Linked DNA regions of Macaca mulatta. The protein of the gene in region 1 binds, or shares a complex with, the protein of each later gene. Links are inferred from orthologs where the notes say so. Each region holds a gene or a part of one and is shown in the gene's direction. Other genes may lie near its edges.

What was found. The genes of interacting proteins can lie anywhere in the genome.
Region 2: KANSL3 (region 1) and KANSL2 share a complex: the UniProt entries of both Homo sapiens proteins name them as parts of the NSL complex. The link is inferred for Macaca mulatta from reciprocal best matches to the Homo sapiens genes KANSL3 and KANSL2.

Annotation. Positions count from the first base shown.
Region 1 is NC_133418.1:5,283,409-5,288,260, reverse strand, and holds part of KANSL3 (KAT8 regulatory NSL complex subunit 3), read left to right. Parts: intron 1-1,952; exon of another isoform or gene 1,953-2,013; coding exon 2,014-2,184; intron 2,185-2,279; exon of another isoform or gene 2,280-2,420; intron 2,421-4,852. UniProt on the Homo sapiens protein: Non-catalytic component of the NSL histone acetyltransferase complex, a multiprotein complex that mediates histone H4 acetylation at 'Lys-5'- and 'Lys-8' (H4K5ac and H4K8ac) at transcription start sites and promotes transcription initiation.
Region 2 is NC_133416.1:55,812,167-55,816,034, reverse strand, and holds the end of KANSL2 (KAT8 regulatory NSL complex subunit 2), read left to right. Parts: intron 1-252; exon of another isoform or gene 253-373; intron 374-759; coding exon 760-879; intron 880-1,301; exon of another isoform or gene 1,302-1,438; intron 1,439-1,649; coding exon 1,650-1,781; 3' UTR 1,782-2,414; downstream 2,415-3,868. UniProt on the Homo sapiens protein: Non-catalytic component of the NSL histone acetyltransferase complex, a multiprotein complex that mediates histone H4 acetylation at 'Lys-5'- and 'Lys-8' (H4K5ac and H4K8ac) at transcription start sites and promotes transcription initiation.

The DNA of each region.
Region 1 (4,852 bases):
GATCCTCCCACCTCAGCCTCCCATGTGGCTGGGACCACAAGCTAATTTCCGTATTTTTGCACTATGTTGCCCACACTGTTGAATTTGTGGGCTCAAGCGTTCTGGCCACCTTGGCCTCCCAAAGTGCTGGGATTACAAGCCTGAGCCCTTGTGCCCAGTAATTTCTTTTTTTTTTTTTTTTGAGACAGAGTCTCACTCTGTTGCCCTGGCTGGAGTGCAGTGGCGCAGTCTCACTGCAAGCTCACCTTCTGGGTTCACACCATTCTCCTGCCTCAGTGTCCCGAGTAGCTGGGACTACAGGTGCCCGCCACCACGCCTGGCTAATTTTTTGTATTTTTAGTAGAGATGGAGTTTCACTGTTAGCCAGGATGGTCTTGATCTGACCTCGTGATCCGTCTGCCTCAGTTTAAGTAATCGTATGTAGCTTGTAACTACTGTATTGGACAGTATCTAGGCAATCATCTTGTTAGCCACTTCTCTCCATTTGTACTGTTCTCGTCCCTAAACAAGCTATCATGATTTCTGGCCTATCTCAGTCAACTGCAGTGGCTGCCTCGCTGGTCTTCTAATTCCACTCCTGAGCTGTAGCCTACTAAACAAAAATTGAAAGTGATTTTTTAAAAATATTAGTTTGAGGCCGGGCGTGGTGGCTCACGCCTGTAATCCTAGCACTTTGGGAGGCTGAGATGGGTAGATCACGAGGTCAGGAGATCGAGACCATCCTGGCAAACACGGTGAAACCCCGTCTCTATTAAAAATACAAAAAACTAGCCGAGCGAGGTGGCAGGTGCCTGTGGTCCCAGCTACTTGGTAGGCTGAGGCAGGAGAATTGCTTGAACATGGGAGGCGGAGCTTGCAGTGAGCCGAGATCGCGCCACTGCACTCCAGCCTGGTTGACAGAGCGAGACTCCGTCTCAAAAAAAAAAAAAAAAAAAAATTAGTTTGAGAGTCAAATCAACTTGCTTATGGAATATATTGTCCTTTTTTTTTTTTTTTTTTTGAGACTGGGTCTTGCTCTGTCACCCAGACTGGAGTGCAGTGACATGATCACAGCTGACTGTAGCCTCAACCTCCTGGGCTCAAGCAAGCCATCCTCCCACCTCAGCTTCCTGAGTGGCTGGGACTGCAGGCACACACCACCATGCCTGTCTAATTTTTGTGTTTGTTGTAGAGACGGGGTTTTGCCATGTTGCCAAATTGGTCTTGAACTCTTGGGCTTAAGCAGTCTTGCCTCAGCCTCCCAAAGTGCTGGGATTACAAGTATGAATCACTGTGCCTAGCTATATTTGTCATTTATTTATTTATTTTTTGAGACCAGCTCACTCCTGGGCTTAAGTGATCCTCCTGCTTCAGCCTTCCAAAGTGCTGGGATTACAGGTGTGAATTGCTGTGCCTGGCCGTATTTATTATTTATTTATTTATTTATTTATTTATTTATTTATTTATTTTTGAGACCAGGTCTTGCTCTGTCACCCAGGCTGGAGTGCAGTGATGCAATCATGGCTCACTGCAGCCTTGACTTCCCAGGTGCCAACAGTCCTCCCACCTTAGCCTCCTTAGTGCTGGGATCACAGGCATGTGCCACATGCCCAGCTAATTTTTGTATTTTTGGTAGAGACAGGGTTTCCTCATGTTGCCCAGGCTGGTCTTGAACTTCTGAGTTCAAGCGATCCACCTGCCTCGGCTTCACAAAGTGGTGGTATTACAGGTGTGAGCCACTGCACCTGGCCCATATTTATCTTTAAAAAAAAAAAAGATGTTTATCATTTTTTATATAGACTCATTGAAAAAATGACTTTGTGTTCTTCCAGTACATACCATCGTGTCTGAGAAGGCAGAGATCTAGACAAGTGTGGGAAAGATGACTTTGGATCAAAATTTTCTTGTGGATATAATGTGCTTATACATAATTTAAAGCTGACTGTATTAAAGATACATTTTTTGTCAACCAGATGATTGTTAAATACCTGTGAAGTATGTGTGGCCCGGTCCTATTTCCTCACCTGTTTACAGTGAATCAGATGTGCCAATAGATGTGGAGACGGTCATGTCAACGCCTATGCCACTCTATGACAATCAGAAGGCACGCAGCGTGATGAATGAGTGTGAACGGCATGTCATCTTTGCCAGGACTGATGCAGATGCCCCTCCTCCACCAGAGGACTGGGAGGAGCATGTCAACAGGTAGGCTGCTCATCAGGAGGATGGTCACTGCCCTGTAATTATTTCGTATCATCTTCATTGAAATAACACTTATTAGGACCTTATTTCATTTGCAGCAACACAAGTCAGAGTGTTCTCCAAAGTCTCACATTATAACTCTCAGTTCACCATGCTGTGTGTGAGCTTCTTGAGAGCAGGGCTTACATCTCAGCCATCTTTGCATACTTCACACTAGGACGTTGTCTGGCACACAGTAGGTATATAATGTTTGTTGGATAAATAAGTGAATTAAATTTGATAGATATGATTAGCTCTGTAGTAGCTTCTGTTGTTTAAGTTATGATATAGGGGTTACCCAAACTACAAAAAAATGAAATGTACATTTGTAAGGTATTGTGTTTAAATGGTTTATAACTAGGATGATGAAAGTTGTGAAGTCACATGAAAAGCTAACAGATGTTTGAGTGGCTTTTAAAAATAGATTTGCAGGCTATGGAGGGCACACTGAAGCCTGTTTTCATGAGTATATTGGCTAGTTTTGTTCCCAAGCTTTCTACTGCCCCAGGGGACTCAGTACTCCTCTCCTGGTCATTTGTCCCTGTTCATTTGGTAAACATTTACCTAATCACGTAATATCTTTTTGGGAATATTTATATGCCATACAATTCAGCTATTTAATGTGTACAGTCATTGGTTTTTAGTATAGTCAGAGTTGTATATTCATCACCACTATCAATTTGATAAACATTTTCATCATCCCAGAAAGAAACCTCATACCCATAAACAGTCACTCCCCATTTCCTCCTAGCTTCTCTGGTCTCTAGGAAGCACTAATTGACCTTTGTCTCTATAGATTTGCCTATTCTGAACATTTCATGTAAACGGAATCATGCAATATGTGGTCTTTTCCTACTGGCTTCTTTCACCCCGCATAATATTTTCAAGGTTCATCCATGTGGTTGTGTGTATCAGCACTTCATTCTTTTTATTGCCAAATGATATTACATTGTATGGATAGCCCACATTTTATTTATTAATCAGTTGATGGATATTTAGGTTATTTTCATTTTTTGGCAATTGTGAATAATGCTGTTATGAACATTTGCATACAAGTTTTTGTGTGGATCTAAGTTTTTAATTCTCTTAGCTATATACCTGGGAGTGGACTTGTTGGGTCATATGATACCTCTGTATTTAACCTTTGAGGAATTGCCAGACTGTTTTCCAAATTGGCTATACCATTTTACATTCCTACCAGCAGTGTATGAGGGTTCTAGTTTCTCCACATCCTTGACAACACTTACTGATTTTCTTCTTTTTAAAAAAAATTATAACCGTTCTACTGGGTATAAAGTGGGATCTCATTGTGGTTTCAACTTACATTTTGTTGATGGCTTTTTGTCTGTGTATCCATATATCTACTATATATAAGGAAATGTTACTTCTTATATCAGGAGTTGGTAGGTGGTAACTTTCCACAATTTCAGAGAACCCTTATTTTCTAATGTAGAGAGAGAAAGAGGGGTAGAAAGTTTGAGGTGATTGACATGATTACTGAAGCTGGTTGGAAGTTGGAAATGAGATTGAACAGGTGTGCTTGTGTGATCAAAACAGCAGCTGTTGAGGGAGGAGCAGTTCTGCACCTTGGTTGAAAAAAGCTTGTGAAGAACATGGTTGGGGTCTTGCATTGGAATTAATTTAGTGCCTTAAGAAGCTCTTTTCTCACACCTGTAATCCTAGCACTTTGGGAGGCTGAGGTGGGTGGATCACCTGAGGTCGGGAGTTCAAAACCAGCCTGACCAACATGGACGAACTCTGTCTCTGCTAAAAATACAAAAGTAGCCGGGTGTGGTGGCGCATCATGCCTGTAATTCCAGCTACTTGGGAGGCTGAGGCAGGAGAATTGCTTGAACCTGGGAGGCGGAGGTTGTGGTGAGCTGAGATCACGCCATTGCATTCCAGCCTGGGCAACAAGAGTGAAACACCGTCTCAAAAAAAAAAGAAACTCTTTTGAGCGTCAGATAAAGAAGAAAACTAAACTGCTATGAATGAAGATCAACTACTGGAATATTGTTAGAGTCAGTATATTCAGCAAAAGGATTTATCAGTTTTTACAGTTAAAAATAGAAATAACAACGATGGTAATAACAAAAAGGAGCCAGCATTTGTTGAGTGCTTTCTAGGTGCCAGACATTGTATCAGGCTCTTCAAATGCATTGTCTCTTAGTCCTCCCATCATCTCTGCTTGGAGGTATAACCCCCTTCATCTCTGCTTAACAGGATGAAGAAACTGAGCTCAGAGTGTTTAAGAAACCTTAATTAGGAAGTGATGGAGAAGGAGTTTGTTCAAACCAAGCAGTCTGACTCCAGAACCCAGTGTTCTCAACCACCATACCCTCTGCCTTAATTAAGGGCAGTAAGAAGAGATTAAGACCAGTTAGTGGTGGCTGAACAAGGTGGCCTCGTATGGTTATGTATCCCTTTGTGGTATTTTCCACTACCTTTTCCTTTGCAATTTTGCAAAGTACATAGGAGAACTGTGTGATTTTTTTTTTTTTTTTTGTCGTCATTTCATCCATGGTTATGATTAAGAGGTTTTTGTGGACAATTCATACTTACCAAAGTCATTAGAGACTTAATAATACTATAAATACCAGTTTTGTTTTTTTTTTTTTTTTGAGGCAGGGTC
Region 2 (3,868 bases), on another chromosome or scaffold:
TTGGGATCACAGGCATGAGCCACTGTACCTGGCCATTTTTAAGTGTACAAGTCAGTGGTGGTACGAACATTTACCATGTTATACAGCTATCAATGTTTTCTGTTTCAGAACTTTTTCATCAGTCCAAACAGAAACTTTGTATTTTTTAAACAGTAACTCTCTCCTTTCCCTTTCCCCTGTTCCCTACTATTCTCCGTTCCTACTTCGTGTTTCTGTGAATTTTCCTGGACATTTTTTTTCTTTCCGAGACAGGGTCTGACTCTGCCACCCAGGTTGGAGTGCAGAGGCTCAATCTCGGCTCACTGCAGCCACTGTGTTCCGGGCTCAAGGGATCTTCCCACCTCAGCAGCCTCTGGAGTAGCTGGGACTACAGGTGTGTGCTGCTGCGCCTGGCTGATTTTTGCAGTTTTTGTAGAGACAGGATTTCACCATGTTGCCCAGGCTGGTCTTGAACTCCTGGGCTCAAGCGATCTGCCTACCTCGGCCTCCCAAAGTGCTGGGATTACAGGTGTGGTGGCCAGAATTGTGTTTTTTAATCCACTATATTGGTCTATGTTTTACACTTGGCAGCAAAAGCTCTCAGTGCTCTTGGATCTTGTTTCATTTGTTGGACGTTCTGGTAAAATTTTTTTTTGATCAAAGGTAGGCTAGGGTTGAGGGAGACAGCAGAGTATTGCTTTAAAGTTTGCTGAAAAACATACCACCTTTATTATTGTTTCCCTTGGTATTGCTGATGGGCTTTTCTCTCTTGTTTTCTAGGACTTGGATGTTGTGGGTGATGGTATGCAGTGTCCTCCTTCACCTTTGCTTTTTGATCCTTCACTAACCCTTGAAGATCATTTAGTCAAAGAAATTGCTGAAGACCCAGTGGATATTTTGGCAAGTGAAGAACAATCCCACCTGTTTCCCGCATGTAGAGACCTGGCCAGGCAGAGGGTTCCCTGCTGGATAGCATGTACTCCTGGAGGGGAGTGGGGTGTCATCACTAGTATAAAGACGCTCCACATGTCTCTCGCTCATTGAATACCATATAAGCAAAGCACTTTTAAAAATGCCCTACTTTGCTCCTGTATACCCTTGTTGCTGTAGTTCTCCAGATAGACTCTTAGAACACCTAATGGCCCCTGATCCTCATATCCCAGAGTAGGACATAAATTTATTTAAATAAAAGCTTGAGATAAGGAATCTAGGTAAACTGTACCTTCTGAGGGAGAGTTCAGCACTGAAATTGTTCTCATTATAGAATGACCAGTAAAGTAGTGTGATTTGAGTTCTGTCTGTGAACCTTGGGTAGAATTCCAGTGGCCCTGACTGAAAACCAGCAGTTGTACTGTAGCTGTTGGTTTCAAGCAGAGGCCTAAAGGACTGTCTTCCTATGGTCTGTTGGCTGTTCTGGGACCTCAGCAGGGAATGGCTGTTTCATTTGGAAGAAACAACCTACAGCTCTCCAACCCATTGGAAGAGGCTCAGGAGTAGGCTCTTCCAAGGGACAGGGATAGCTAATATAGGGAGGAGCATCTGTCCAGAATTAATTAATTTCTGTTGTATTTTTCTTATTGCTAGTATAAATGGCCACTGATAAGTCAGATTCATACTTCAGACCACAGTGAATGAATTTCTAACTGAAGTGCCTTTATTTCTTTTAACAGGGCCAGATGCAGATGGCTGGAGATGGGTGCAGATCCCAGGGATCTCGAAATTCTGAGAAAGCCTCTGCACCATTGTCTCAGAGTGGATTGGCTACTGCAAATGGGAAGCCAGAACCCACTTCTATTAGTTGATAGTTTGGGGAACCATTTTACTTTGGTGGATTTAAATTTCTCATTCTTCAAAGAAATATTTCTGATCATCTCTCACAAAACACAGGCAACCCAGACTATCTTGTTTTTCTTCTGGATTGAGTATTATAGTCAAAAGTAAAGCCAAATTTTGAGGACATGGACCAATACTTCTTAAGAGTTGTGGGTTTCTTCCCACTCAGGGCAAGGAAGAGAGATAATCCCTATCAAAGCTTCTGGGATTATTTGGTACTATACCTAAAAGGAAAGTGACATCTTTGTAATGGGATTTCCAAAGTCATGGATAGAAATCCACTTAAGTAGCTAGGTGGGAGCTGTCTTTGTGAGTAGTGTCTTTTAGATACTGATGGCCCTAATATCTGGTTATCTCTATCTAAAGACCTGCAGTTTAACTTTTCTTCACCTCTACTTAATTGGGCAATCTTTAACCTGTTTCCGTGGTGAACTCTGGCTTTTATCCTCTGAGAAAACAGCCCACAGGACTGGGTCCTCCTTATCCATCTTGCTTTTAACCTATGTAAATTTCTGTGGTTGCTATCTTATGTAAAATATAGTACAAATTTATTGTATATAGTTTCTATTAAATGTTAAAGAAAATGTTATGAAAATATCAAACAGTCACCTGAATTGAATGCATGTTTTGTTTGAGAATATAGTCTCTCTTTCGCGGTTTTAGGGACCTGTCTCTGATGGGAAAGGGAAGTTGGGGCAGATAATACTTCCATCCCAGGAAAAAATAAATCTTCAGTAGCTCATTTTGGTTTTGCTTTTAAGGAAGAAGTAAATGAAAAGGGGCAGGACTTATTAAAGCCAATCAGTTCCAAATATCTTCTTTCTACCCTTCCACTCTGTGTCCCCTACTCCCACTCCCATTTCTCACGATTAATGCCAATGTCATCTCTGCTAGGTGTGGTGGCTTACACCTGTAATCCCAGCACTTTGGGAGGCTGAGATAGGTGGATCACTTGAGCTCAGTACTTCCAGACCAGTCTGGGCAACATGGTGAGACCCTGTGTCTATATTTTCAAATTTTAAATAATTATTTAAAAAAACAATAATGCTCATGCCATCTCAAAATTCTCTAATGGTAGGAATATACTTAAAACATAAGAGAAATTGGGCCTGATGCTGGATCACTAAGATAGTAAGGTATTGTCAAGATTGTTTTGACACTGAATCTTAGAGCAGGGTTAAAATAGAAGTTCAGTTGGGGTTGAGGTACCTACACTAGAAATTGTCTATTTCTGTACTGCATTATGACAAGGAGGGCAAAAAATTACTTTAAGAACTGAAATGGGCACAGAATGGCTTACAGTTACACCATCATCTTAACTTTAATCATTTACATTCAGAGCATGGTCAGAAGTAACTCATAAAAGGTCCATCAGATGAACCCCTAGGGAGATTGCCTTTACTAGGTCTTCCAGTGATACTGTTTTTAAGTTTGTAGTTCCCACTGCTTTTTTGATTCCCTAGTTTAGTACTTTTTTTTTTTGAGACAGAGTCTGGCTCTGTCGCCTAGACGGGAGTGCAGTGGCTCAATCTTGGCTCACTGCAACCTCCATCTCCTACATTCAAATGATCCTCCTGCCTCAGCCTCCTGAGTAGCTGGGATTACAGGCATGCGCCACCGTGCCTGGTTAAATTTTGTATTTTTAGTAGAGATGGGGTTTTGCTATGTTGGCTGGGCTGGTCTCGAACTCCTCACCTCAGGTGATCTGCCTGCCTCAGCCTCCCAAAGTGCTAGAATTATAGGTGTGAGCCACCATGCCCAGCCTAGTGTAGTGCATTTTATACTTTATCCACAAAGACAAACATTTTATTTATGTGTTTCTTTATATTTGAGATGGGATCTCACTATGTCACCTGGCCTGGAGAACAGTGTCATGATTATAGTTCATTACGGTCTTGAACTGGGCTCAAGCCATTCCCCTGCCTCTCAGCCTCTTAAATCTGGGACTTGTGTGCCATCATGCCTAGCTAAGACAAACGTTACTTACACGGCTATGAGCTTGAACACGACTGCTCAGATATCCTCCTCCTGGTTAAAAAAATGTAATTTACAGACC